Mus musculus: one gene and its partners. The protein of the gene in region 7 interacts with the protein of the main gene of each other region in a pairwise test. Links are inferred from orthologs where the notes say so. Each region holds a gene or a part of one and is shown on either strand. Other genes may lie near its edges.

What was found.
Region 1: the proteins of Ddit3 (region 7) and Hsd17b14 interact in binary tests that used the Homo sapiens proteins (3 or more experiments, as listed by UniProt). The two-hybrid records come from large-scale screens. The link is inferred for Mus musculus from reciprocal best matches to the Homo sapiens genes DDIT3 and HSD17B14.
Region 2: the proteins of Ddit3 (region 7) and Cebpe interact in binary tests that used the Homo sapiens proteins (3 or more experiments, as listed by UniProt). The link is inferred for Mus musculus from reciprocal best matches to the Homo sapiens genes DDIT3 and CEBPE.
Region 3: the proteins of Ddit3 (region 7) and Atf4 interact in binary tests that used the Homo sapiens proteins (3 or more experiments, as listed by UniProt). The link is inferred for Mus musculus from reciprocal best matches to the Homo sapiens genes DDIT3 and ATF4.
Region 4: the proteins of Ddit3 (region 7) and Tnfsf12 interact in binary tests that used the Homo sapiens proteins (3 or more experiments, as listed by UniProt). The two-hybrid records come from large-scale screens. The link is inferred for Mus musculus from reciprocal best matches to the Homo sapiens genes DDIT3 and TNFSF12.
Region 5: the proteins of Ddit3 (region 7) and Mcmbp interact in binary tests that used the Homo sapiens proteins (3 or more experiments, as listed by UniProt). The two-hybrid records come from large-scale screens. The link is inferred for Mus musculus from reciprocal best matches to the Homo sapiens genes DDIT3 and MCMBP.
Region 6: the proteins of Ddit3 (region 7) and Batf interact in binary tests that used the Homo sapiens proteins (3 or more experiments, as listed by UniProt). The link is inferred for Mus musculus from reciprocal best matches to the Homo sapiens genes DDIT3 and BATF.

The regions. Positions count from the first base shown.
Region 1 is NC_000073.6:45,561,374-45,565,243, reverse strand, and holds part of Hsd17b14 (17-beta-hydroxysteroid dehydrogenase 14), read right to left. Parts: intron 3,192-3,870; exon of another isoform or gene 3,177-3,191; coding exon of another isoform or gene 3,039-3,176; intron 2,330-3,038; coding exon 2,225-2,329; intron 1-2,224. UniProt on the Homo sapiens protein: Catalyzes the NAD(+)-dependent oxidation of L-fucose, yielding L-fucono-1,5-lactone, which rapidly converts spontaneously to L-fucone-1,4-lactone. Can also act on D-arabinose and L-galactose, with lower catalytic efficiency. Does not use NADPH.
Region 2 is NC_000080.6:54,709,560-54,713,738, forward strand, and holds Cebpe (CCAAT/enhancer-binding protein epsilon), read right to left. Parts: upstream 2,616-4,179; 5' UTR 2,400-2,615; coding exon 1,890-2,399; intron 1,316-1,889; coding exon 980-1,315; 3' UTR 804-979; downstream 1-803. UniProt on the Homo sapiens protein: Transcriptional activator. C/EBP are DNA-binding proteins that recognize two different motifs: the CCAAT homology common to many promoters and the enhanced core homology common to many enhancers.
Region 3 is NC_000081.6:80,253,814-80,258,110, forward strand, and holds Atf4 (cyclic AMP-dependent transcription factor ATF-4), read left to right. Parts: upstream 1-1,370; 5' UTR 1,371-1,872; intron 1,873-2,393; 5' UTR 2,394-2,485; coding exon 2,486-2,708; intron 2,709-2,820; coding exon 2,821-3,647; 3' UTR 3,648-3,732; downstream 3,733-4,297. UniProt on the Homo sapiens protein: Transcription factor that binds the cAMP response element (CRE) (consensus: 5'-GTGACGT[AC][AG]-3') and displays two biological functions, as regulator of metabolic and redox processes under normal cellular conditions, and as master transcription factor during integrated stress response (ISR).
Region 4 is NC_000077.6:69,686,068-69,689,937, forward strand, and holds the end of Tnfsf12 (tumor necrosis factor ligand superfamily member 12), read right to left. Parts: intron 1,310-3,870; coding exon 1,185-1,309; intron 1,025-1,184; coding exon 773-1,024; 3' UTR 173-772; downstream 1-172. Other genes in the region: Tnfsfm13 (tumor necrosis factor (ligand) superfamily, member 12-member 13), read right to left, coding at 890-1,024, 1,185-1,309. UniProt on the Homo sapiens protein: Binds to FN14 and possibly also to TNRFSF12/APO3. Weak inducer of apoptosis in some cell types. Mediates NF-kappa-B activation. Promotes angiogenesis and the proliferation of endothelial cells. Also involved in induction of inflammatory cytokines.
Region 5 is NC_000073.6:128,698,982-128,702,595, forward strand, and holds part of Mcmbp (mini-chromosome maintenance complex-binding protein), read right to left. Parts: intron 3,427-3,614; coding exon 3,262-3,426; intron 427-3,261; coding exon 338-426; intron 1-337. UniProt on the Homo sapiens protein: Associated component of the MCM complex that acts as a regulator of DNA replication.
Region 6 is NC_000078.6:85,706,483-85,709,786, reverse strand, and holds the end of Batf (basic leucine zipper transcriptional factor ATF-like), read right to left. Parts: intron 1,245-3,304; coding exon 1,035-1,244; 3' UTR 700-1,034; downstream 1-699. UniProt on the Homo sapiens protein: AP-1 family transcription factor that controls the differentiation of lineage-specific cells in the immune system: specifically mediates the differentiation of T-helper 17 cells (Th17), follicular T-helper cells (TfH), CD8(+) dendritic cells and class-switch recombination (CSR) in B-cells.
Region 7 is NC_000076.6:127,289,196-127,293,690, reverse strand, and holds the start of Ddit3 (DNA damage-inducible transcript 3 protein), read right to left. Parts: upstream 2,899-4,495; 5' UTR 2,800-2,898; exon of another isoform or gene 2,693-2,799; intron 1-2,692. UniProt on the Homo sapiens protein: Multifunctional transcription factor in endoplasmic reticulum (ER) stress response. Plays an essential role in the response to a wide variety of cell stresses and induces cell cycle arrest and apoptosis in response to ER stress.

The DNA of each region.
Region 1 (3,870 bases), on a different chromosome or scaffold from region 7:
CCAGAGGTCCTGAGTTCAATTCCCAGCAAGATGGTGGCTCACAACCATCTATCTGTAATGGGACTGAAGGAGTGTGCCCTCCCCCCAGCCTTGAGCAGTCAACAGTGGCAAACCTAGTTTGCCACAGTAGCTAGCTTACTTAGGGTGGAGTCTTCTGACCTAGGTAAAGTCTATTGTCCTACCACATCTGCTTCTTCCTCCAAGATGGCACTACCTGCTGAGAGGCTGAACCTGTTTTCCTGAGCAGATCCTGGAATGGTGGGGGATGGGTCCCCCACACCCATAAGCTCAGACTCATAAGTAAACATTAGGCTTTGATCAGAGAACTTTGTCTTGGCTTGTTATTTCTCTCACCGCCTTTCCCATCCAACCACATCTTTCCTTGCAGGAACCCAGGAACCTGTGGCTGCTGGCGGCTACAAAGGAGTTGAAAGGGTTTGCAACCCCATAGGAAGAACAACATCAACCAACCAGACCCCCCAGAGCTCCTAGGGACTGAGCCATCAACCAAGGAGTACACATGGCTCTAGCTGCATATGTAGCAGAGGATGACCATGCCATGCATCAATGGAAGAAGAGGTCCTTGGACCTATAAAGGTTCGATAGACGCCCCAGTGTGTAGGGGAATCAAGGGCAGGGAGATGGGAGTGGTGGGTGGGTGAAGGGACACCTCATAGAAGCAGGGAGAGGGAGCATGGGATAGGGAGTTTCCAGGAGGAAAACAGGGAAAGGGGATAACATTTGAAATGTAAATAAAGAAAATATCAAAAAAAAAAAAAAGCACAAAAAAAAATGTAAAAAAAAAAAAAAATCAGTGCTGGAGAGATGGCTCAGCAGTTAAGAGCACTGATGCTCTTTTTTTTTTTTTTTTTTTTTTTTTTTTTTGGTTTTTTCGAGACAGGGTTTCTCTGTGTAGCCCTGGCTGTCTTGTAACTCACTTTGAAATCTGCCTGCCTCTGCCTCCCAAGTGCTGGCATTAAAGGCTTGTGCCACCACTGCCCGGCTCTGACTGCTCTTCCAAGGGAAGCAGGTTCCATTCCCGGCACCACCGGATGGCCCAGGTCCAGGGAGTTAGATTCCCTCTTCTGAACTCAGCATGAACCAGAAAGGCCCCCATACACACATGCAGGCAAAACACTCATATATTCAAAATAAACATAAATAAGTATGTTTTTAATGACTTTACTGCACTCTGAGTTCAATGCCTGCCTGCTGTACAGTTTCAGGACAGCCAGGGCTATACAGAGACACTCTGTCTCAAAGATTATTAAATAAAATAAATAAAATAAATACAATCTGACTGGTGAGGATAAGGAAGGGTGTTTGCTGCCAAGCCCAGGTTCCTGATTCTGTTCCTGAGACCCACGTGGTAGCGGAGAGCTGACTCCTGCAAGTTGTTCTATGACCACTACCACCCACACCCACACCCACACCCACACACACACACACACACACACACAGAGAGAGAAAGAGAAAGAGAGAGACAGAAAGAGACAGAGACAGACAGAGAGAGAGAGACAGAGAGATAGAGATAGACAGAGAGAGAGAGACAGAGAGAGAAAGAGAGACAGAGACACAGAGAGAGACAGAGACAGAGAGAATATAAATTATTTTAAAAAATAAGCCGGGCAGTGGTGGCTCATGCCTTTAATCCCAGCACATGGGAGGCAGAGGCAGGTAGATTTCTGAGTTTGAGGCCAGCCTGGTCTACAAAGTGAGTTCAAGAAAGAAAGAAAGAAAGAAAGAAAGAAAGAAAGAAAGAAAGAAAGAAAGAAAGAAAGAAAGAAAGAGGAGGTGGATTGTAGGCTCAAAGCTGAAAGCTGAAACCCAAATAGCTAGGAAAGGTGTAAGCCCCTACAGGCAAGACAGGCAGGTGAGTGGTCACATCTCTCCTGAGGTCCCCCAAATGCCAGGCCCCACCCAAAGGACAGTCTAACTGCCCTAAACAGTGGGATCTAGCCCAGCCCCATCCCTACAGAGTAGAAACGAACTCTCAACTTGAAATCGCACCAATCCCCACCCCGGAAAATCTCCCGCAAGAAATTCTACATAAACCCCATCTTCTGCCCAGTTCTCTCCTGCTTCTCACCAGAGCAGAGGGAGGATCCTGACCATCAGGATAGCTTACCATCCAAGCTGTTACCCTACATCAACTGCAGGGTTACCTTTCCCCTCAGAGCTGTAACCCTTACAAGAGGACAGGAGAGAAGAGGGGCTGGCCTACCTTGGTGGCCACGTAGGTAAGGGCCTGGGACTGGCCGATGGCCCCGACCAAGCTGGAGATGTTGATGATGTTCCCTCTGCTCTTCCGCAGGTGGGGGAGGGCAAGCTATGGGGAGGATAGATCAGTCATTTGCAACTGGTCCTGGAGAACAGCCACCAACATCCTCAAGTGTGGGACTGTGACCACTGTCTAGTGAGTGGATCTCAATGAGCACAGGCATAGGGGCACATCTATGGTATGTCTGAGCACCTCTGCAAGGGATCAAGGGATCTGTGTGTGTGTGTGTGTGTGTGTGTGTGTGTGTGTGTGTGTGTGTCTGTCTGTCTGTCTGTCTGTCTGTCTGTCTGTCTGTCTGTCTGTCTCTGTGACTTTTATCTCCCTTCATCTGCTATTCCATCTCCAGTCCTCATCAAGCTAGGAAAACCTAGACACCATACAGAACCCTGCCTCTTCAGCCCAACTAGGAGGAAGTGTTTTACTCGGGGGAGAGAGATGGTGTGTCTGGGCTGTACAAAGAACTCTGTGATCATGCCTTGCATGATGCAGGGAAAGCCTCAGGATGTGTCCCGCTTCCTGCCACCTCCTGCAGCTCTCTGGAGCCCCCTCCCTGTATGACTTCCCTACGCCCAGTCTGTTCTCCACTGCTGTGGGCACTGGCGCTGTTCCCAGGACACATGACTGAGCACTGAGTAGGTCCTCAGGAGGCTCCTGGAACAGGAACCTAAGAGGATCCCTACTGTGGTTCACCCCCCAAATCCACCCTTCCCCCCTTCCTCCGTGCCATCTTCAACACTGCAACTTCAGAGCCTCTTGCCTGGACCACTCCCTGCAGAGAAAGCCACACAGGCCACACACTCTCCTCAGTTTGCCTTGGAATAAGAGATCCCTGGGGACTGTCATGGTAGTCACATGCCCTCTGGTCCTGTAACTGATATTGCAATAGTGAGAACATCTCCAGTACAGGGAGCCCTGCCCACTGGGGCCCCTCTTCTCCTCTTAAAGGGACCAGCGACAGACAGTAAGTGCGGCTGGATCTCAGGAAGTCAAAAGCCATAAACACAGGAGACGTTCAGAGGACTCTGAAGTGTCTGAACCCAGCTCTGCGATGGGGGTTCTCTGCTCTCCTCAGGGGAAGGTCCCTCTCGCACCTCACACACATTCTTCCTTACACTCTGGAACCACCCGCCCACCCTCTCCCTTATGCCAGTCAGCTTTACACCCTCTCCACCTTCCGTAATGGCAGTCTCTGATAGGCCCCTTGCCTACTCTCTTCCCTGAACCAGGTCCAGAGCTATTATTCAATTAATATTTGTCCCACTCCCCTGACTCTTTCCTGGGTATGTCCCTGGCTGACAATCTCCCGATGTGACTCTAGGCAGCTGCAGAGGGCCCCTGCTTTCACCACCTAACCCAGCTTCTATCTTATTCCAGTTTACTCTAACCCGAACCAGGTTCTCCCAAATGTTTGTGTTGCGCGTGGGATGCAAGCGACTCACATCTTTATTTTAGTTTATATGCATGGGTGTTTTCCCTGCATGTATGTCTGGGAACCACATGTGTGCAGTGCCTGTGCAGGCCAGAAGAGGGCATCAGATCCTCAAAAACGGAGAGTTCTGGGACTAGACCCCAGGTTCTCCTGAAGCGTC
Region 2 (4,179 bases), on a different chromosome or scaffold from region 7:
CCTGTGCCGATGAGGAAACCGAGGCACGGAAGGGAGAGGTAACTGGTTCAAGGTGAGACAGCAAGCTGACGCCCTCTACTACTGTACGGTTTTGCTTCCTGGGCCGCAGTTCTATGGGGAAGAAACCACCTGGAGTGGGGAGGGGGGAGTCGCAGGCACAGACTGACTTGTCATTGGCTTCCTCGGGGTCAGGGTTCTCACATACACACCAGATCCTAACTGGTTTCTCCTGGGCTTACCTTCTCCAGTGGCCTGCGGGGATGAAGGATAAAGATGGGAGTGAGGATGTAGAACAAGACAAGAGGCAGAATGCTGGATCAAGAGCCAAGGGACCACAAATATGGCAGAGTCATCAGAAAGCTTTCTCTTGGTCACCTGGGAAATGAGCTCTGAGGCCTAAAGTCAGAGAGCAGGCCCTAGGCCAGTGGGGCTGGCACTGGAGTTGTGTGGCACTGGGGTCATCAGAGCCCCAGGATTCTCTCAGGGCAGAATGCAGAGGCTGCTCCAGACACTGGCATGCACTGTGGTGGTAGCAAGCACACACTCGATGTACAAAGGACCAAGTGGGTAGGTGGGGTGGACATGGAGGTGAAGTGACAGAGAAGCAGAGGGACAGGCTGAGGCTAGGCTGGAGGGTGTGATGGACAGAGCCAGCCGTGGGCGGCATGTTAGTATTTCTAGGCATTCATTTGGACATGGAGTCAAGACTATGTGGACTAGCCACATGTATTCCCTGCCCTTGGGGTCCTCCATGGGTATCCCCTCCCACCAGGCCCAGGCCCAAGACCCAGTGAACAGCTTCAGCATCAAGTAACAGTGCAGTTTATTCAGCCACAGAATCATTTGGTCCCGACCTTCCCAATTACTGGCTGCCATTGTCCACGATCTCTGTCTCAGGCTTGGCCTGTTCAGGACTCTGGGGACCTAGAAGGGTGGGCGGGGCCCTTAGGGTCTGGTGCCCACAGTCTGCCAGGCAGGCTCAGCTGCAGCCCCCGACACCCTTGATGAGGCTAGCAGCCTCAGGGATCTGGCGGAAGAGGTTGCGCAGAGTGTCTAGCTCCTGAGTGAGCTGGTCTACGCGGTTGCGCAGACGCTCGTTTTCAGCCATGTACTCCAGGACCTTCTGCTGAGTCTCCATAATGCGCCTCTTGGCCTTGTCCCGGCTCTTGCGCACCGCGATGTTGTTACGTTCACGTCGCAGTCGGTACTCCAGGCTATCTTTGTTCACTGCCTTCTTGCCCTTGTGTGAGGGGCCAGCAGGGGAGGGTGCCTTGAGAAGGGGACTGCAGGGAGGGGCAGCAGCTGCCACAGGGGCCTGGAGGGTAAGGGGGACAGAGAGGTGAGGGTCCACCAGGAGGCAGAGTGAAGGCTAAGCAGGAAACCCAGCAGGGAGAGCATATGTGAGGCCTCAAAGGGATACAGGACTCCCAGAGAGCTCCGATCTCCCAGGCATCCATCTCCCTGTCTCTGTGAAGGACCGTAACCCAGATACATATGGTCCTTGGTCTGAGACCAAAGCTTTCTATCATGCTCTCATTATTCCCTTCCCTTTGGTTTGTCTGTAATAAGTCTCCCGTTCTAAAATTCTAGTCAGCCATGTTTCCTCATCCAAAAGCAGGCAGCAGAGAAGCAAGAGGTATAGTGCACAGCAGGAAACCTGGTCCTGCCTGAGATCAGGGCAGAGCAGCTATTACAAGTGTCTTCAGGACACAGCCGAGTTCTAAGAAATAAATTCACAGAGTTGGGAAACAGGACCTTGGGGTAGGGCATGTTCACAGAGGAGCACCAAACATAGACTTGTTAGGGAAGCCCAGTAGTCAGAATTCCCTCAACCACCCACCTTGCTCCACCCTGGGGGGAAGAAGCGGGGAGAGCTACCTTGGTCTTACCTTGAGGACACGCAAGGGCTGGCCAGGTGCTGCCAGGGTCGGGGGGAGGTGCACGGCTGTCTGCCCGCAGTGTGCCACTTGGTACTGCAGGGGATTGTAGCTGCCTCGACTGGTGCCTCGGTTGCCCTCTGGCCCACGAGGCTCCTCCTTCACCGCCACAGCCCTGGGGTCGTAGCTCCCTGGGTTGCTGTAGATGCCAGGCCCCAAAGCCTTCCTATCTGGGCCAAATGTGTGTGAGGGATAGGCGAATGGCCGAGGGTCAGCCGGCAGGTAGTGAGGAAACGAGGGGGCTCCTGGGCCCTTAAGGCTTCGGGCTTCAGGCGTTGGCTTCATGGCAAAGAGGTCAGAAAGTAGCTGTTCTTCCCCAGACTCGATGTAGGCGGAGAGGTCGATGGAGGCCTCATGCTCACACATGTCCCCCAGCTCCCCGGGCCCAGCTCGACCCCCTGAGAACTCAAGTGGCTGCTGGCCACCCCGAGGCTCGCACTCATAGTAGGTCCCGTGGGACATGGCCGGCCCGCCCCCTTGGCTCCCCGCCCCTGGGTCCTGTGCTGGGGGCGCCCGCCCGTTGGGATGCTCAGCCTGCCCTTTCTTGGATCTCCCCCGGTCCTAGATTTGCCCTAGGTTTGCCCTCTCTGGTCTTCTCCGTCACCAACTCCTACGTGGCTTCTCTCCTCCTCTGCTTCCCTTTCCTTCTGTAGTCAGTACCTCTTCCTTTCTTCCCTTTTCCTCTCTCTCCTTGGGGTGACTAAGGGAGGGGCAGGGCACACCCCGGAGGGAGGGGTGCTTAGCAGTTAGGGCGCTCTTTGCGAAGGCCCCAGCCACAGTCCAGAAGTTGCTGTTTGAGAAAATGGCCCTTTTTGCCCTGCGAGTTCAAGGGATTCTAATCCCTTGCCCAGAGTAGCTTCTCTGAATATCTGTCTTCCTCCGATTTCCAAAGAGACCTGTGCAGAGTGAGGTGTCAAGCCAGAGCCAATAGACAAAGCATTCCCCCAGTGCCAACTTGGTCTAAACTCCTCCCTTGATGCATCTTCCTCCCTGTCCCGTCCCCCCCCCTCCCCGCCCCCACCCCCAAGTCCTGAACTCCACCTACCCCGGGGTAAGTCAGTTCCTTCTGTAGCCCCACCTCCCAAGACATTTTTCTCTGTGTAGACCATCATTGTTTGAAGGGTTTGGGAAGTAGTAGTAGATTCTAGGACCAAGCTACCCCTGGCCCTAGTACAGGGTATGCCCATTTGCTAGTTTTGAGACAGGGTCTCACGATGTAGCTCAGGCTGGCCTTGAACTCACAGAGTTCTGCCTGCCTTTGCCTCCAGAGGGCCCCTATTAAGGTTCTTCGGTTAGGTCTTTGCACAGGGCTTGTGTGCATGTCTCCAGATCTGGCTATGGCTAGCAGCCTGGCACAGTCCGGGGCTGCCAGGACATAGCTGAGGTTTCTGGTCAAGACATGGGTCCTGTACCTCAGGCCCAGGCAAGCTGCAGCCTCAGAACCAACAGAAAGGATCTGCTGGAGGTCCCAGTTGCTCCACCCTAAAAGCTGTTCTGGCTGACCCCACCCGCGCTGGCCTGAGGCTCTGCCTCCTATTTCCTGTGCCCTGAGCTGCATGCAGGCCCTTGTTTTCTGACCTGTGCGTGTCTCTCGGGTCCACTTCCTCTTGTAGGCTTGAGAAGTCTTCTCTCTTGTCCTCACCTCTTCCTGGGGCTGTTTCGGGGTCCGAAGGAGAAGCTGGTAGCTGCCTGCCCGCCCTTCTTGATCTTCTACTAACCCCCAAAGTTCATTTTTCTGTTTTGTTCGGAACTTCCTGCTCTCTCCAGTTTGGTTGTGGCCCTGCTTCAGACACGGTTCTGGATTTACTGACAAGAAAAGAACACAGAGACATGAGAAGTGTGTCACTTTTCAGTTGTTTGTTTTTTTTTAGGTTGAGCCTCCCTTTTAGCCTAGCCTGGCCTTGAACTCTCATCTTCCTGCTTCATTCTCCACGGAGCTGAGTTGATAGCTGTGCTACCATACCTTCCTGGCTCTTTTATTGCAAACAGATGTTCTAGGGGGAGGGACAGAATTTTTAAAATGAATTTATTTTCATTATTCTAAAGTATGTGAGTGTGTGTGTGTGTTGTGTGTGTGTGTGTTGTGTTGTGTGGTATGTGTGTGTGTGGTGTGGTGTGTGTGTGTTTGTGTGGTGTGTGTGGTGTGTGTGTGTGTGTGGTGTGTGTGGTGTGTGTGTGTGTGGTGTGTGTGTGTTTGTGTATGTGTGTGCACACTTCCAGGTACCCATGGAAGCCAGAGACA
Region 3 (4,297 bases), on a different chromosome or scaffold from region 7:
TGTATAGCAAAAGGCAGTCATGTATCACAGGTTCAGGAGTTTAGCAAAGCAAGGGGTGGGCATACATCATAGAGTTAGGAACTCAGCATAGGTTAAAAACCATGGTTTGCAGGGTACATTATGCTTAGGGGACAGAAACTTGTAAGGGATGTCCACTTAATGTAGCAGTGTGGCTGCTGTTTTGGTTTCCAGAGCAAAGAGAGGACATAGTTACCCTTTTGTTGCTTTTGCATGGAAAGACTAGGTAACTTCTGTATGTGTGCACATGCACTTGTGACTTCTTTGGGTATAAAAACATCTCATTATGTAGGCCTCGTGTTTTATGGTTGGTTCCGTCTCAGTAAACAATAATAAAGGCTCCTCTGAGGAAGGAGGATGGAGTTAGGGATATAGGGACTGGAGAGTTAGGTTCGAATTAATAAATAGCAATCAATCATATAATCAAGGACGACCTTGAACTATGGTACCCGAGCGCTAGGGTTGGGTTGTACAAGGCTTGCAAATAATCACTGAGCAGTAAGTGGCAGGCACTGTGCCAGTTGAGTGGTATTTGTGTGAGTCACTTAAACAGAAGTGGAAACTCTTTTTAAGATTTCCAGGCTGGAGTTGGAAAGAGCCTCTCAGCACTCTCAAAACAGCATCCTTTATGGTGAGGCCTTGACCAGTACCTGGGGCTCCCGATCACTTAGGCGGCAGGCTCACTCATCAGGATGACTTCTTGGGAAGGTGATACCTGGAAGTTAAGGCTTGAGAGCCAACTGAATAAACCTGATCTTAAGGGAACTGACCCTATACAAACCGGCAGTGAGGGCCTCTATGATGGGAGGATGGGCATAGGAGGTTAGACCTGAGGTTAGGCATGTTTCCCCGGTTCAGGGGAAATCGCTGAACTGGAGGAACCGGAATATCTCCCAAGAAGACCCCAACACGAACGCCCTGCCTCCAAGTGCCGTCCCTGTCCCAGGACTGACAGGAAGCTGAAGGTTTGGACCAGCTAACTCAGAAGGGTCTCTCCACATGCCTGAAGCCTGCCCACTCGGTTCTGGAAACAACAAATACATGAAAAGATGGCTTCCAGCCCAAAGGTCACGCCTGGAAGCTGTTTGCTCGGTGCGGAGCGATGCCGGAGAGAGCAAATACACATGGATCACATCTGACAAGAGATGGCAGGTGTGACAGTCTGGCGCCCGGAACCTCTGGTGGCTCCTCCCTTTCCACGCAGACCCCTGATCCTAGAGCGCCCAGGTGCAGAGCCAATAGGAACTTGAGGTTTAGGTGACTCGCCACGCCTGGGCCAATCAGCTCGACGCGCGCTCCGACGGCGTCTCGCGTGATAACCTGGCAGCTTCGGCTTTGACCGTCAGAGCTTTGGCTAGGTGTCCCACCCCGCCTTGTAAGACACCGGAAATTCGTCAACGAGCGATCCCTCCGCGCTCCGGAACCAGACCGCGGCTGGTCGTCAACCTATAAAGTAGTGCACTTTTCTCTCATGGGGCCTTTAGGACGATCTCTAACGCCACAGTTACCCCCCGAGCACAGCGGAGAAGGGTTGGGGCGGGCGAGGGCGTCAGTGAGAGGCGGTTTGGTGGCGCTGCGGTAGGATCACGTGACCACAGTGGGAGGATACGCGGTGTGCTGCGTCCCTGGCCGAGGCTATAAAGGGCGGGTTTAGGGCGTGCCGCCGCCATTTCTGCTTGCTGTCTGCCGGTTTAAGTTGTGTGCTCGGGTGTCCCTTTCCTCTTCCCCTCCCGCAGGGCTTGCGGCCACCATGGCGTATTAGAGGCAGCAGTGCCTGCGGCAGCGTTGGCCTTTGCAGCGGCGGCAGCAGCACCAGGCTCTGCAGCGGCAACCCCCACCGGCCTAAGCCATGGCGTGAGTATGGGGCCGGCCGCGGAGGGCGGGGGCCTCGCTGTGGTTGGGTGCGGCCCGGGCGCGGTGGCCGGCACACGCGGTTTTACAAGCGGCCGGACGCGTCGGCCTTGTTTGCGTTGCCTGCGACGCCGGCGCTCCCGGGCAGAGCTGGGCGGAGGAGTGTCTAAAGCGCTACTGCTGCCCCTTCGTCCTGTCTTAGCTTAATCATCTCGGGCTCACCGGGGTCCCCGTGTCATCCTGCGAACGTGGCGATGCCCAAGATGGCGGTGGGGCGGGGGTGTGAGTCACGGGGGCGGGGCGCGGCGGCCTTGGCCGTATTAGGACGCGAGGACAAGCTGCTTCCTCTGGGTGGCCGGTGAAGCAAAGCTAAGCCTCCATCTTGTGCAACCCGAGCTGGCGGCCGGGGAGGCTTACACAATGGCCTTGGGCCCGCGTGCTCTCCCTGTAGACGCTTCTGGGATTTGGCCATCCGGCATCTTAGATAGAAAGATGACTGGACTTGCTTTTGGGTCCCCATCCAGGCTCTTCACGAAATCCAGCAGCAGTGTTGCTGTAACGGACAAAGATACCTTCGAGTTAAGCACATTCCTCGAATCCAGCAAAGCCCCACAACATGACCGAGATGAGCTTCCTGAACAGCGAAGTGTTGGCGGGGGACTTGATGTCCCCCTTCGACCAGTCGGGTTTGGGGGCTGAAGAAAGCCTAGGTCTCTTAGATGACTATCTGGAGGTGGCCAAGCACTTGAAACCTCATGGGTTCTCCAGCGACAAGGCGGGCTCCTCGGAATGGCCGGCTATGGATGATGGCTTGGCCAGTGCCTCAGACACCGGCAAGGGTGAGTAGGACGGCTGTCCTGGTGTGCCCTTTTCATATGGATCTGGTGTTCTAATGGCTTTCTGCCTCCCGAATATGACATGAACCGTTCACACCTGAATTTCTTTTCCCAGAGGATGCCTTTTCCGGGACAGATTGGATGTTGGAGAAAATGGATCTGAAAGAGTTTGACTTCGATGCTCTGTTTCGAATGGATGACCTGGAAACCATGCCAGATGAGCTCTTGACCACGTTGGATGACACATGTGATCTTTTTGCCCCTCTAGTCCAAGAGACTAATAAGGAGCCCCCTCAGACAGTGAACCCAATTGGCCATCTCCCAGAAAGTTTAATAAAAGTCGACCAGGTTGCCCCCTTTACATTCTTGCAGCCTTTCCCCTGTTCCCCAGGGGTTCTGTCTTCCACTCCAGAGCATTCCTTTAGTTTAGAGCTAGGCAGTGAAGTTGATATCTCTGAAGGAGACAGGAAGCCTGACTCTGCTGCTTACATTACTCTAATCCCTCCATGTGTAAAGGAGGAAGACACTCCCTCTGACAATGACAGTGGCATCTGTATGAGCCCAGAGTCCTACCTGGGCTCTCCCCAGCATAGCCCCTCCACCTCCAGGGCCCCACCAGACAATCTGCCTTCTCCAGGTGGTTCCCGTGGGTCTCCTCGGCCCAAACCTTATGACCCACCTGGAGTTAGTTTGACAGCTAAAGTGAAGACTGAGAAATTGGATAAGAAGCTGAAAAAGATGGAGCAAAACAAGACAGCAGCCACTAGGTACCGCCAGAAGAAGCGGGCTGAGCAGGAGGCCCTCACTGGCGAGTGTAAGGAGCTAGAAAAAAAGAATGAGGCTCTGAAAGAGAAGGCAGATTCTCTGGCCAAGGAGATCCAGTATCTGAAAGACCTGATAGAAGAGGTCCGTAAGGCAAGGGGGAAGAAGAGAGTTCCGTAATAGGGTAGTCAGGTGCTTTGTGCTTGTACATAGTCTTGTGTTGCTGTGTTTGCTGTAATAAATTATTTTGTAGTGAAAGTACCTATGTGGGTTTTCAGTGTCATTCTTTGTAATAGACTTAACTGCAGACGTTCCTGGGTTAGATACAATAACTACCTGGGTATATCCCAGGGCTGAGCTGAGCTGTTTGAGACGGTGAAGATGAGGGAGCTCTGGGTTAATGAAAGGAACAGCCTGAATTCCACCTGTTCATACTGGCTTTGTGCCAGATAGCTGCCATGTAAGTACCTAGATGAGGTACCCGCCTTGAGCACACAGAGGATTAGGTTTTTCTCAGGCTTAAGGGATAGAGCTCATATTCCCTCTGACACAGATGGCTGGACTGTTTCCACCTGGTGGAAGGGCTGGGGTGATAGTAAACAGTGGCAGGTACTGTCTACAGAGGTGAAAATGAGCAATGTAGGCAGGAAGCTGGGAAGGGAACCTAGGCTTCCAGCTCCAGGGTCCTGGGCTACCTGCATCTTTACCTCTTAAATCTGGAAACTGTTAAAGCCTGCAGGGTTAAGAGGGATCTTTCAGCCTTCCCAATGCCAGTAGACTCACCTGAATGTTAGCTGTTGGGATGAATGTAGTCCATTGGGTTTGCTAAT
Region 4 (3,870 bases), on a different chromosome or scaffold from region 7:
CCTGCTCAACTGCTTGAGGCTGCCAAGAGGAAGGGCCCTGCTCCTCCTAGCCAGGGATTCCCCTGCAGGAGGAAGTCCTTTGCTAGGAAAATGAGGCTGCTTCTGCAGCACCTTGAGCAGAGGACCAGGTGGGTTTTGTTGTTGTTTGTTTGTTTGTTTGCATTTTTTTTCTGGTACCTTTGTGATTTCTATTCAGAACTGCAGCTTGGAGGCATGCAGGTCCCTGTTCCCCAAAGCCTAAATCCCCTTCCCACAATCTTCAGTTACTCTGAACCCCAAAGAAGAGAAATCATGATTTATTCTCTTTAATATCCATTTAACATTTTGTCACAATAATAATAAAAATAGTATCTTTTCAAAATCCACAGGGATCCAGGGAGGAGCTTGTCCCCAGCTCTTCCCCCTCACAGTTGGGAACTTCTGGCCTAGTCCCAGGTTCTCTGGCTTCCTGCCACCAGGTCCAGCCCATCTCAGTGCCTGGTGCACAAAGTCAATAAACACGTGGTCGGGTGAGTGGGTGGGGGAGTCAGGGATAAGTAGGGGCTTTGGGAGCTAGTGAGGTGGATAGTTGTGGTGGGATGGGATGTTAAAGAAGAGCAAGGATACGTCTGTGGAATGGAAAACATGTGAACAAGCTCTGGCTGCCTTTGAGGAGAGGACAGGACTGGACCAAGGAGCAGCGAGGGGGTGGAGGAGTGGGGGTGGGGTAGGGAGGTGTGGTGATGCTCCTGGAGCCAGGGAAAGTTTAAGGAATCTGGGAGAGCAAGGCCCCTCAGTGAACTTGAAAGAGTCCAAAGTAGGTTAGGAAGGGGGCAGCCTTAAGATGAGCCCAGGGGAGGGTGCGGATCCGAAGGGAAGACCCTGGCCGCAGCGGCAACAGCCCAGACACCTGGCACAAACGGAGCTGGGGCCCAGGAGAGCTTGCTGCTGTGGCTGAGAATTCTTCCAGGCAGCGCAGGGCCAGCACACCGTTCACCAGCAAGTCCAGCTTCAGGTAGACAGCCTTTCCCTCATCAAAGTGCACCTGGAACAGAGAGAGGCAAGCAAATCCAGACCTCTGCCTCCCTCATCGAAAGCCAGGCATCTTCCTTCATGAGTCGCAGAGTCTCCCTCTCCCACCCATTCCTTGCCAGTCCCTCCTCCCCTTAGCCTTTGCTCTGCCCCTGAAGCCAGGCAGGGCTTACCTGACAGTACAGGTAGTAGAGCCCAGCCCTGATGACTGTAAATTCCCCAATCTGGCGGTCGTAGCGCAGAGGGCTGGAGCTGTTGATTTTGGTCTCTTCCCAGCCACTCACTGTCCCATCCACACCTGAATGGGGGATGTTTAGGGATAAGTAGAAGCCCCTTTACAAGACCCCACACACATTCCCCAGGAATCCATTAAGAGTGTGTGTGTGTGTGTGTGTGTGTGTGTGTGTTTGTGTGTGTGTGTATACACACACATACATGGTACAGCTTGCCCAGAGTATAGGTGGAGCCATGCCCTTATGGTACACGAAGTGATAATAAAGTATTGTGTGATGAAACCTAACATACATGACCAGGAAGTTGTCACTGGTGATTGCTTCTGGGGAGAATAAAGAGTAGTGCTACAGCAGAAGAGTTGGGGTTTTTACATTTTACTTCACGGTTTATGTCCTGAACATCTATACTATACTATACTATACTATACTATACTATACTATATACACACGTGCCCGCATCATTTGAGTCAACTGAAAACAGGTGACAGGCCACAGACTCATGGGTTATGAATTGAAAACTTCCTATACAAATGAGAAGAATATGCCCAGCATTGCTGGTGCACACCTTTAGTGTTCACCTTTAATCCCAGCACTTGGGAGACAGAGGCAAGAGTATCTATGTGAGTCTGAGGCCAGCCTGGTCTATAGAGCAAGTTCCAGAACAGCCTGGGATACATAGAGATCCCTGTCACAAAACAAAACTAAGAAAAAAATAAAATAACTCTTAATGTCCATCAGCAAATGAACAGATGAGTAAATATGACATCCCTGTCTCTTGGTCCATTACTCTGCTGTAGAAAGGAATAAAGAGTTGCTTGCTAGCATGTGAGTGAACCTTGAAAACATTGTGCTCAGTGAAAGAACCACATATTGTCTGCTCCCAAGCATAGGAAATACCTGCAATAAGTAGTCTATAGAGACTGCGAGGGGGCAGGTGATTACTTGAGGTTAGCCATGATGGGACTATAATGTGATGGCTAAAGGATGCGCGGCTGCTTCTTCCTCTTTTTATTACTACTATTATTTTTTGACACTGGATCTCATGTAGCTTAGGCTGCCTCAGACTTTCAATGCAGTTGAAGATGAACTTGAATTCCTCATGCTGCCTTCCAAGTGCTGAGATTATGGTATGTGCCACTTTACCAGACTTGGCCTCATGTTTGTGACAGGCTCTCTATGCAGTCCTAGCTATCCTGTTGTCCACTATATTACCCATGCTGGTCTCTAACCCAGAAACTGGCCTGCACCAGCCTCTGCCTCCTAATGCTGGGATTGCAGGTGTGAGCCATGGTTTTTGGTGATTAACGGTTTACACCTCAGGGTGCACTTTAGTCACAGTAGAGCACAGGATTATACATGTGGGCGGACTGCATGGGATGTGAGAGCTATCTTTTTTTTTTTTTTTTTTTTGGTTTTTCGAGGCAGAGTTTCTGTGTAGCCCTGGCTGTCCTGGAACTCACTCTGTAGACCAGGCTGGCCTCAAACTCAGAAATCTGCCTGTCTCTGCCTCCCTAGTGCTGGGATTAAAGGCGTGCATCACCACTGCCCGGCTGTGAGATCTATCTTAATAGAGCTGCTACCAAAAGCCATGCCATGCAAAGGGCTGGGGATGTAGCTCAGGGGTAAAGTGCTCAGCTAGCGTGCCTAGGACTCTAAATTATGTCACCACAAAACAAAGAGAAATCTCTAGAACTAGTGTAGTCGAAAACTGTAAAGAAAGCCAGGCATGGTGACACACGCCTTTAATCCCAGCACTTGAGGCAGAAGCAGGTGGATCTTTGAGTTCAAGGCCAGCCTGGTCTACAAAGTGAGTTCCAGGACAGCCAGGGCTACACAGAGAAACTCTGTCTCGAAAAAAAACAAACAAACAACAAGGAAGTAGTAGTCAGCTTGGACCTCAGAGTCTATGACTTCCCAGATTCTGCTCCAAGGCTATCACCCCCACCCCACTCCCACCCCCACCACTACTACCACGTCCCATCCTGGCCTTCTTCCTGTCTCCCACCATGCTCCAAGCTCCTTCTCTCTATGGGGCTTTATAATGGTATTCCTCCCCCAACTGCACCCCCGCCAGCTCTTCTCTTCCTGACAATGACTTCTAGTTTCTCCTGTGGGAGTGGTGTGTGTGTGTGTGTGTGTGTGTGTGTGTGTGTGTGTGTGTGTGTGTGATATGTGGGGCGGGGAGTGGGGGGGAGTGGTGTGTGTGTGTGTGTGTGTGTGTGTGTGTGTGTGTGTGTGTGTGTGAGAGAGAGAGAGAGAGAGAGAGAGAGAGAGAGAGAGAGATGGAACAGGTCTATAATCTGATCCTTTGGGATTCTGAGAAAGAAAGCTCCTGAATTCAAAGCCGTGTCTCAAAACAAAGCAAAATAAGACAAGCAAACAGACCCGGCCATGCCCATCTCTGACTTCCCTTCTTGTTCCCCAGCAGTCAGCAAAACATGAACTCTGTATTCATCCCCCCTTGCAAGGGCAAGGACAGCTGTCCTATTCACCCCGACTATCTTCCCAGCACTTAGAACTGGGCCTCACCTAAGGTAGGCCTAAGATGCACGGGTGAGGAGTTACCTGACAGTTCTCATCCTTTGGGTCCACAGGCTCCCTGGGCCTCAGGCCCCACAGTCAGTCA
Region 5 (3,614 bases), on a different chromosome or scaffold from region 7:
ACTCTCTCTCCTTCACTGAGCTCAGTGCTGGCCAGCGTGTCTGACTAGGCCAGCATGACTAGGCCAGCGTGTCTGACTAGGCCAGCGTGTCTGACTAGGCCAGCATGACTAGGCCAGCGTGTCTGCACTGGGATTCCTTGTGGCCGCGGCTACACATACCCAAATTTTAAGCAGGATCTGAACTACAATCTTCAGACAAAAGCTTTGTCCATCTGTTCAATTCTCGATGTCTTTGGAAGGAGAAGTTCCTTTGTTTTTAGAATTCTGCCTCAGACACTGCTGAGCAGATCAAATGCACACAGCCGGCAGCTGAGGTGACCTGGATCAGCGCACTTACCGAGCCACCACAAGCAGCTGGTGGAGGTCATCAGCCGTGATGCTCTGAGGGTCATCTTTACGCATTTCCACAAAATCATCTTCAACCGCCTGTGTCACAGAGCAACACACTTGTAAAAGTGTCCCTTCAAAACAATTCCCTTACTTTTTAGAGGAAAGGAAACATGATCCTTGATTGAGGTAAAAATAATGGTAGAAAAAACAAAACTTAAGGCCCATTACAAAATGCAACACGGAAAACATTCTACATTCAGCTTGGCCCGGTTGAGATGCCGAACAAGCCTAGCAGCCAGCACCCTCTGCGGCGACGGTGCGGGGGGACGGTAACTTACAGACCTGCCTGGGCCCAATACAGCAAGTACAATGGCTGCACTCAGCTCTGTCAAAACCATGGAAACTGCCAGTATCTTGGGTACCATTTATACAAGAAAACAGTGGCTCTTGGTAAGAGTATTGAGGCTGTGACATCTGAGCTTGTTACACACTCCATCCTCCTCAGGTGATGTCCTCTAGGCAGGGCTGGAGTTCCTGCGCTGCTGCTCTGATCTGCAAGGCTGCCTTTCCTAATCTTTTTTTTTTTTTTTTTTTTTTTTTTAAAGATTTATTTATTTATTATATGTAAGTACACTGTAGCTGTCCTCAGACACTCCAGAAGAGGGGGTCAGATCTTGTTACAGATGGTTGTGAGCCACCATGTGGTTGCTGGGATTTGAACTTCAGACCTTCGGAGAGCAGTCAGGTGCTCTTACCCACTGAGCCATCTCACCAGCCCGCCTTTCCTAATCTTACTTGAAGCCTGTTATCGCTGTTCCTCTGTTGTTACCACGAATAGCTTGCTATATACATTAAGCTTATCTATACACCATTATGTTTCCCTTACATAGTGTACGTGAGACCAGGTACTAGCTCCAGTTAAAAGCACTTCCTGGGGCTCAAGCATGCATCACTCTTGGAAAGGGGTGACTATTGTATAAAGAACTAAAGACTATGTGAACAGTGCCTCACCGAGCAGAGAACATCAATAAGGAAATAATGTTGAAAAAGAAGCAAACAGGAAATTCTATAAATAAAAAATAAGGCAATTAACAGCAATAATTGTAGAAAATTTGAGCAGGCACAAAAATTAATCAAATTTCAAGATAGGTGAACAAAAGCTTTTTAGACTGAAGCAGAAAGAAAAATAAGGGAAAATGACCGCAGCTTCAAAGATCCGCAGCTCACCATCAAATGTACTGACGTAAGTGTAATGAGGGCCAGTGGGAGAGAAAGCAGCAGGAAGGAACTAAAAAAAGACAGAAAACCAAAAACAATGGCCCCTAAAAATTTGAAGGCTGCTGCAGTGGATTGACGCAGTTTGTATTCTAATACTAATATTGGTTCCTCAAGATCTGGTTGCCCTAGAGTCCCTACGCACATAGACCCAAGTGATTCTATGTGACCTTGCCCTCAAGTTATTTCTGAATAAAGATGTCTACAGCCAGTAGCTGGGCAGAAGAGGCACAGGCAGGTTTCAGGGCTCCTGGGCCTGCGGTGGGGGTTGGGGGGGCGGGGAGGAGAACCAGGAGGGAGAGAAGACGGTGAAGGGAGGTAAAGTTGCCATGAGTTAGGTGAGTCATGAAAATGTGGCCCTGAGGGCTGGCCAATTGGAATTAAGAGCATCCCAGATGAAACATAGTAATAACAAGGGGTTAACGATAGAAGGTAGATTCTAATGGCATAGAGGGTAGATAACGACCCAGCTCTTGTGGTATTTAAAGCTTATTGTAAATATAAAGGTTGTGTGAGGCTTTATTGGGAACTAAATGATTAAGGCCAGGCAGAAACCTGGATTGGGATTAACAATTTCTTTAACAGGGTGCTAAAGACTTGACCAAAATAATGCACACATTAAGAAGCACGCAAACTCAGTAGGACAGACAATAGGATCTCGGGACTGACAACTCCTCTGGGTTTTAGAGGCATGTTTGTAAGGAGTACAGCTACTGCTGACAGAACGGGGGGGTGGGGGGGTGGGGGGGGGAGCGGAACACGAAGGGAACAGACGATGGAATAGCTAAGAGCTTTGATCCCAGCACTAAGGAGGCAGAGGCAGCAGATCTCTCTGACTTTGAGGCCAGCCTGATCTGCACAGTGGGATCAGTGGGGTCAGAAGAGAGAGCAGTGGTAGGTGCTTAGCACAGTGAAGGCCCTGGGTTTGAAACCCAGCATCATAAAACAAATGGACAAAAAAAAGAATGGTCACAGAAAAAGCTTGAAGAAGTTGTCACAGAAGACACAACCTTGGTTTAGGCAGCTGCACAAGGAAATCCTGACCAGTGTGTAAAGCTATGCATGATGTCTGCCTATAGCCATGTATTTCTTCTAAGTCTACGGCCAGCCTAGGCTATACAGTAAAACCACAAACAACTCAGAAGGGCAACACAAACTGTATTTTCTTGTTCAGCTTTCCCCTCTGGTTTGAAAGACAATAGCACAAAGTGATAATTAGTAAGATGATACACTAAGTGTCCTGTGACACTGGCTAGCACCTGTGAAATAAGTCCTAGTGTGACTGGGGGGCTGTGGAACAGCCTGGAAAGCAGCAGATTCGTTTGTGTTAATGTAGTGAACCCATCTGTCAGGCCTAAGTGAGGGACAACACAAGGCTGCGGCAGGAGCTGGAGATGAGAGGAAGAGCACTTGCTGACTGACATAAAGGGGCTGGCTGGCTCCCAGTGTGAAAATACTTCAACCAACCAAACAGAAACAACCGAAATGCAGAAAGAAAGGAGGCTGCTAAGAAAAAGCACAAAAAATGAAATCTCTTTTAAACAGAAGAGCACAATGAAGACTAGAGTTGCCCAACACTAACCCTGCCTAGCAAGTAACTGCAGTAAGTTGCATGAACCCCAGAAGGTAACAGGAGTCTTGCTTGACTAGGTGTACCTTGGTTATGTCGTCTGATAGGTTGTAATCCAGGAATCTCAACAAGGTCAGGTAGATCCGGAACTTGTTGAGCACGGACGGCAGCACAGCTGAGAGCAGGCCGTTCATGTACTCCTCCATGTTGGGTGGTATCAGCTGGGGCTGCAGGTGAATCTGGCAGTCTGCCTGGAAAGAGGAAGATCCATGATCCCCAAGTTCCTTCAGCTGCCTACCTCAGAGGCGGCGGCTCTCAGCGTGGAAGGGAATTAGGAAACACGAGTTGAGGAGGGGGATATTTTTAAAACCTTAGTGTGCTCAATCTGTCTGGATTAAGACACAAACCAATTGCAATGTGATTCCGAGCTTAATTCTGA
Region 6 (3,304 bases), on a different chromosome or scaffold from region 7:
GACGGCTGTTCTTGCTTCTGGGCACTGTTATGGGTAAAGGCATAACATGAAGACCAACAGATGTGTGGCCTGGGGACTTCTGAGAAACAGGTGGACATCAAAGGGAAATGAAGAACACTGGTTTCTACCAGATGTCCAAATTGAACACAGCCCTGAGCTACTCAACCTTGGGACACTCAGTGTACAGGTTGAGTGTCCTATTTCTAAGGGCGTCTTTGGCAGGGTGTGGCAAAAGGTTACCTACGGCCTTGAATGGGAGGTGCTGCGTTTGTGTTACCCATATTCCTGGCATGGAACCTGCCACAGCATCCTTGAGACTTGACTGTAGGGCTGCAGCAGCCAACCAGGAAGGTGTACAAGTGGGAGAAACTGAGATTTCCCTGACCTGTCTTATACAGCCCTTTCTCTAACTGTAGAGTGACTGGCTCCACCATTTAGAGAAAGCACCGTGCAAGAGGCACGGCTGGGGGGGGGGGTGTCACACTGTGGAGGAGTGTGAGGGAGATAGCTAGAGGTTGAAGATGATTTGAAGAGACCAGCTTCCCAAACAGGGAACAAAACATGGAGCAGACAGCTAAGTGGAATTCATAGAGTCTGGAAGAGCTCCCTGAAGCCAAGAAGGAAAACCAGGTGCCAAATCAAGAGAAAGTAGTTCGCACGATGCTGATGGGAGAAGTGAGGGAAGCCGCTTTCCAGGGCTGGTTTTTTAGAAAATATTTATTTAGAAAACTATCCACCCCCTGCCCTCCTCCCTCTGTGCTGTGTATTTTGGGCATCATTCATGACAGTCCAGGGTTGACTTGTCATTTTTTGGGTCCAGTACATTGGCTCGACTTCCCTGGGAGAGTCCAGTACATTGACTATACTTCCCTGGGAGGCCTTAAGTCCCTCTGACCACTACAGTTCTTGTGTTCAATACTTGTCCAGGCCTCTGCCACTGGGCCTCTGGGTAGAGGTATGAGGGCAGCCCGGCCTCAGTTTACATGCCCCTCCAAGGGATCACGGGAGTAGCATCGCCCTTCTTGTCCAGAAGGTCAGGGCTGGAAGCGTGGCGAGCTGATGTGAGGCTGGTGGAAGGCATGGGCACTGTATACCACCTCGGGGGGCGAGGGGGTGCCACTGGCCAGCACGGAGCACAGGGGCTCGTGGCTGCTCAGCACTGATGTGAAGTACTTGAGCTCCTCGGTGAGCTGTTTGATCTCTTTGCGGAGAGCTGCGTTCTGTTTCTCCAGGTCCTCACTCTCCTGTAAAGAGACAATCGGCATGATGACTCGCGTCGGGGGTCGGGGGAAGGTTGGTGGTACATGATGGCAGAAAGGTGGTACACAGGGAGCTAAAGTTTTCTATTAGCACAGCCATGAAGAGGGCAACTGAGAATTCCTGTGCACACATACACATACACATAGATTTGTATGTGGGTGTGCGTAAGTATAAGGTTGACCCGTGGGCAACTGCTGATTGCTGTCTATTTTGACTAATAGGAATAGCAATTTCACCTAAGATGTCTCTTCCCTGTCACTATAAGAAAACTCCAGGAGGCTGGGTAGTTTATTTAGATCAGAGTTCTGAAGGTTTAAGGACATGGTGGCTGAGGGGTGCATGATGGGAAAATGGATGGGCAAGTGGGGAGCTTAGAAAAGGAGCTTGTGTATAAGAGAGAGGGGGTCTCTTTAACAATCCACTTACAATAACCAGTCCCATCCCCTCACTAGTGAGAGACAAGCTGGGAGTGGTGGCACAGTCCTGTCATGAAGCACGGGGAGGCAGGAGGATTGGGGGTTTGAAGCCAGCCCAGGCTAGAAAGGAAATACAGAGAGACAGTCCCTTGTCACCCTGTCTCTAAATGGATGAGTATTCTCAAGGGCTGGGAGATATGCCTAGTGTGAAGAAGCAATGGAGCCCTAGGTTCAATCTGCAACACTGAAAAGGAAGGAAAGGAGGGAAGAGAGAAGGAAGAAAAACAATAGAAGAGAAACTGAGAAAGACATTAGTACTTTTTAGTGACACAATCCCCCCTTGTGGCCACCACCACCCCTCAACTCTGTTGTTTCACTAGGGATGAAATACACATACAAGTTTGGTAGGGACAAACCTCAGAAAACCTTGCCGTGGTGTGTGTGTGTGTGTGCGCACACACACACACACGCACGCACGTATGCACCTCTAGGTTGGCAGTCGGGCCAGCCCCAGGTAGAGGAAAGCAGTTTGTGCCTCTTACTCCCCAACACACGCCAAGTGCCTTGTGTCTGTGGTTGCCTCACGCGCTCTGCCTGCTTTGCTCAGGTGCTAGGGTGCTTATAGCCTTTCTGAATATTGAGGATCTACGATGGACTTGGCATTCTATTCTGCTCCCTCCTGGGTTTTGCGATCCTGTTCCAAACCATCCATAAGCCTTGGACAATACCCAGAAGACACTATGAGCTTCCCTACACCTGTAAATCTCTGATGAAGTTTATTAAACATAGGAAGCGATTATCAATAAATAAACACAGAATGGAACATTTATGACAGTATACTATAGCTGGAGTTATTTTAAAACGTATGAATTGTTTATCTCTGGAACTTTCCATTCAGTATCCTCAGACCACAGTTGACATTGGCTAACTAAAACCATAGAGGGTGAAACTTCAAACAAGGAGGAGCCCTGTACTCTGTGCAGAGGCAACAAGCGCTTGGTCCAGAAATGTCTTCCAGTGTTGTGGGGACTGCGTCATTTACCAGCCACCACAGCACTGGGGCATAGAAGTTGCTGAGAAACAACAACTTCTCCAGATAATGGGGTTCCCGGACCTGAATAAACAGAACCTTGCCAAGTCCTGGGGGCCTCCCCCAAGTCCCCTGAGAGGCAAAGGAACCTCATTTCAGGCCAGAAGCTTGCAGGCAGCTCTTCTGCAGATCTGGGATTTGGGAAGAAATTTGGACTCTGGAATCTGGGCTTTTCTTTTCCATGTGTGTGCACACATGTATGGGTGCAGGTGCACGCATGTGTGACACGCACATGGAGGTCAGAAGAACTCCCACGGGCACCGTCCACATTTTGTTTGAGAGAGGATGTCTCATTACCTGGAACTGCCAGTGGCCCTCGGGCTTTCAGGGATCTGCCTCCAATCTCGCCATCGCCCACATTCCAGCCACGTGCTCCCCCCGCCCCACTTTTTATATGGGTGCTTGAGAACACAATTCAGGTCCTCCGTTAGCACTTTACCAACGGAGCCAACACCTCAGTTCTGGAAATCTGAGCTTTTAACAGGTGTCTTAGGTCGTTTTAACGCCCGGGCAAGTTTAAAAACCCTATTAAATATGA
Region 7 (4,495 bases):
AGTCCTTTACCTCCAGCCTCCTCCTAGCCCTTCTCTAGATCCTTTCTAACTCCTCCTAGCCCCTCTCTAGATCCTTTCTAACTCCTCCTAGCCCCTCTCTAGATCCTTTCTAACTCCTCCTAGCCCTTTTCTAGATCCTTTCTAAAATGGGTTGTGAGATGGTTTCTTTGTGCATCCCTGGGCATCCTGGAATTCTGGAACTCAACAACTCTGCAGACCAGGCTCCAGTTCTTCTCTTGTAATACACACACACACATACAGAGGTGTGTGTGTCTTGCAGCGGGTGTGTCCCTGAAGCCATTTCTTCTCTTGTAATACACACACACACACAGGCGTGTGTCTTGCAGCGTGTGTGTCCCTGAAGCCAACTCCAAGGACAGAGGCAGGCTTAACTTTATTTTTAGTTGCTGACATTTGCCGTCTTGATTACATAATAGCAAAGTCCTGGCCAACTAAGTTTTCTCTAAATCCCAGATAGACCTCAAGTCCGCCAAAGGGAGACAGAACTAGAGGGAAGGAAGAGTAAACTCAGCAGTGCTTGCTCAGATTCCATCCCCCCACTGGCAGCCTCAGTGCAGACCTGCTCTGGGATCTCCAGCTCCTTGGCAGTGTTGAGCAGGCGTTCAGCTTACATGAAAGGCCTTTCCTACCAAGGCTGTATAGTTCTTACTAAATGGCAACTCTAGGTGCTGAAAGCCAAAAACTTTGGTATCCTTGATGCCCCTTTCTCAGATACCACAGCTCAGCCTAAAGCACTGACAACTTTAAAAGTACCCCAAACCTAAGTATTTCTCATTACTACATTATTTCCAGATGCAATTTTTTATTTTTCATTTATTTATTTTTTTGGTTTTTCTTGACAGGGTTTCTCTGTGTAGCCTTGGCTGTCCTGGAACTCACTGTGGACAAGGCTGGCCTCGAATTCAGAAATCCGCCTGTCTCTGTCTCCCAAATGCTGGGATTAAAGGCGTGCACCACCACTGCCTGGCTCCAGATATAAATTTACCATACATTTCTTTCCCTGGATTATTTTGGAAGCCTCTTTGAAATCTCTCCTTTCTTTCTTCCTTTCCTTTCCTTTCTTTCTCTTTTAGACAGGGTCTCACTATGTAGCTTTTGCTGTCCTGGAACTTGCTTTGTAGACTCTCTGGCTTTGAATTTAGATCTGCCTGCCTTTCAAGTGCTGGGATTAAAGGCTGTGCCACTATGTTCAGCTGAGACCTCCTGTTTCTATTCTTGTCTTTTACTTTATTTTCACGGCTGTGGGTTGACCTAGGGTCCTCTACATACCAGGCAAGCAGTGTACTATTGAGCTACATACCTAACCCTTTGTTTTTGTATTTATTTTGAGTCAGGGTCTCATAATGTAGCCCTGGCTGGCCTGGAGCTCAGAGATCTGCCTCTCTGAGTGCTGGAATTAAATGCATGTGCTATGATCATTCCTCTGCTCAGATCCCCCAATGGCTTCCTGTTTCATGATTGTTAAAGATTAGCATCATGAGGGTGCTTGCAAGGCTCTATGAGACCGGCTGCTTGAGTTTCCTTTCATCACCCTCTCCTGCTTACTCTAGTCCTGTTCCTAAAGATACCGGCATGGCATGCTTATCTTAACTCTGTTGCTCAGCCTCTCCCTTCTATAAAGCTCTAACACCGGGGCTTGGCTCACAGGCTTGGCTTCTGATGACAACCTCTAGTCACCGCCCTGAACTATTCTGCCCTGCTTTTGTTTTTTTTTTCCCTTTTGCTTTATACTGAAATGTAAGTTTTATTGAGAACAGTTTTATCTTTTGCTCCTAATATACCCTGGGTCCCCAGATACTTGGTACATAGTGGGTGCTTATTAGGCATTTGTTAGGAATGAATGGGGAAAAAGCCCCTCCCCCAAGTTCCCTTATAGAGAATTAAGCCCACTGAGCCTAAAGGCAGAGCGGAGCTGGCTGTCTCTGGGGACTGCAGATGCAATATTGCCCTGAGTGTTTCTCTGCAGGGTTGTCCTCTAGGGAAAACTCCCTTGGTCTTCCAGTGTGTGGGACCTGGCTTTCATCAGCAGAGGAGCCCCAGGCCTGAGGGTGCAGAGACAAACAGTGGGCTGGCCTGACGCAATGGTTACACAGTTTAGTTAGGAGACGGGACTGAGGAAAGAAGCAGAGATCAATCAGCCCTGGGAGAAGCAGAAGACCCTGGAGAGATCCCAAATAATTTCCCATAGTTAAAGAGATCCAGGCTGCTCTCTTGTATGGAAACCTAGAAACCTCTGGGGAAAAGGGAAAAACCCATCTATGCTCCTCCCACCAGCACCCCCACTCGCAAAGATCTGTCAGTCTTCGCGTTCTCTTGAACTTGAGAGTCAGCTACTAACGTGGCCATGTTGGCCCCTTGACTGAGGCGCTTCAGCTTGAAAGAGTTGGGGGGAATGAGGCTGGTGAAGAAAAGGCTGAGACAGCCAGAGTCCCCGACTTTGGGGGTGTGTCCTGCTGCCCCGCCTTTCCTGCGAACTGCCCAGGCCTAAGCTGGCCCGCAGTTCGCACTACAGAGACAAGTTCCCGAAGGCAACCGGAGTCCCTCTGCAGAGTGGGGACCAACTCGAGACAAGGGAACGGGAATGCAATCGCCCAATGCAAGAGAGGGCCTGTAAGCACCATTCCTGAATCAGGGATTCCCGGCCTTCACCCTTCCCAGTCTACAAGCTTACAGTGGAAGGGGTGGGGCTACATCCTCCAGAACAGTTGTCTCCAACTTTATAAAATAGCTATGCTGGCCAGGATGGGAAGGTAAGGGTTAGACGGAGCCAGTACTCGCCTCTCTCCTCAGGTTCCGGCTGTTATTCTGGCTCTGTCGCTGCCACCCGCTCATCTTCAACATGATATAATCGACGTGTTAGGCTCAAGATAACTGACCTCAAGAGCGGAGAGCGAGTATCCTTTATGCTGTCCGGCCCCTCCTGGGGGGGGGGCAGGGTCCAGGAGCCTACCAATCAGAAAGCGGCACGCTGGCACTGGCTCCGCCTCATCCCTTACATCCGCCACTCAGGAGTCTCACGGCCCCACCCCCATCGCGCCCTCTGGCTTGAGAGTCTACGTTGTCTCGGACCCGGAAGTGGCTTTGGGTCACGCGGCTTCGCGGAGGAGGTGAGTGAGTCATGCGCGCGCGCGGAGGAGAGCGCGGCGAGGGAGGGGATGGGGGGGCGGGGATGATGCAATGTTTGGCAACCGGTGTCCGCGCGCGCACGCGCAGGGGACGTCGATGGTGGTGGGAGGTGCGGGAGGGGGGCTATGGGGGAGAGAGGAAAGAGGGCGGAGCGCCAGCTCCCAGTGTCCAACGGCCCCAACGGCTGTCCTTCCTGAACTTGTCTGCCCACCTCCCATCACCTTTAACTTACTCCTCCATGAAAGGCTCCCATTTTCCCTGGCCCCTCCCAGCTAATGGGCACCGGGGCTCTGGAACCTCTTTAAAGTTTCCAATTTGTTCACCTGGATTGACATCTCCTCGAATCTTTTAAGAGCTCTCCTCCTCTTTTAGCCTTCTAATGCGTCCCAAAGACTGAGTTCCTTGATAGTCCACCCGCTTCTCTCAGAGAGGCACCTTTAACGCTTGTTTCTGAATCGTCCATTACGTGCTAGGATTGAAGTTCTTTACAGAGTGTAGATTGCTGCCTCCTCCTCATCCCACCCCTGCTTTGTGTGATGCTCTTACGCCCTTCACTAAGCCCAGTATCCACCCTCTTCCTTCTCCGAGATAGCGAGTCCTGTGACTCCCTGCTGAGGAGCTGGCCTCCTGCCTCTAGCTGTCTGAGTTCACGACCTACAGTAGAGCCTGGGACGTGCATGCACTTGAACGCATGATTGCCCTGGACTGGGTCATCAGAGGAAACACAGATTCTAGTTTAATTTGTCCAAGGATTCTACCTTACTCATTTGTAAATTAAACAACGATAAAGGTAAAAAGCAGCTCTGTGGAGAAAACTTGAGTAAAAGTAAAAACATCTTGCAAAACGTATTTTTTTTTTTTTGTGCCATGAAAACAGAGGCCATGTGGTGGCCTATTACATAGTCTGTCGTAGACTCAAGAGGGGCAAGCCAGAGTTTAAGTAGAAACTGAACCAAGACCGGTTGCTATTGGATGGTGCGACGGTGACAGGTCCTTGGCCAGACTGCTCCTTCGCTCCAGACCTTCATTTCCCCTTCTGTTAGTAGAGGTGGGGGGTGGGTTGGACCAGATGGTCTCTCCTGGCCTAAAGACAGACCAGGTTGTCAGTGACAGGCAGAGGTCATGTGACTTGACAGGCTGAGGTCGTGTTGTGACATGTTGACCTGGAGAGGCGGGTCAAGTCTCTGCACACTACCCGGGAAGCCTTTGGGGCGGGGCAGGGCAAGTCGCGACTTTCATCTTTTAGGGCTGGCCCCTCCCGGACCTGACATTCCTGACTCCCCCAACAGATTGTGGCTTCGGAAGGGGCCCCTCCCGAGGGAGGACTGGGATTGGCCACCAGTGGCCT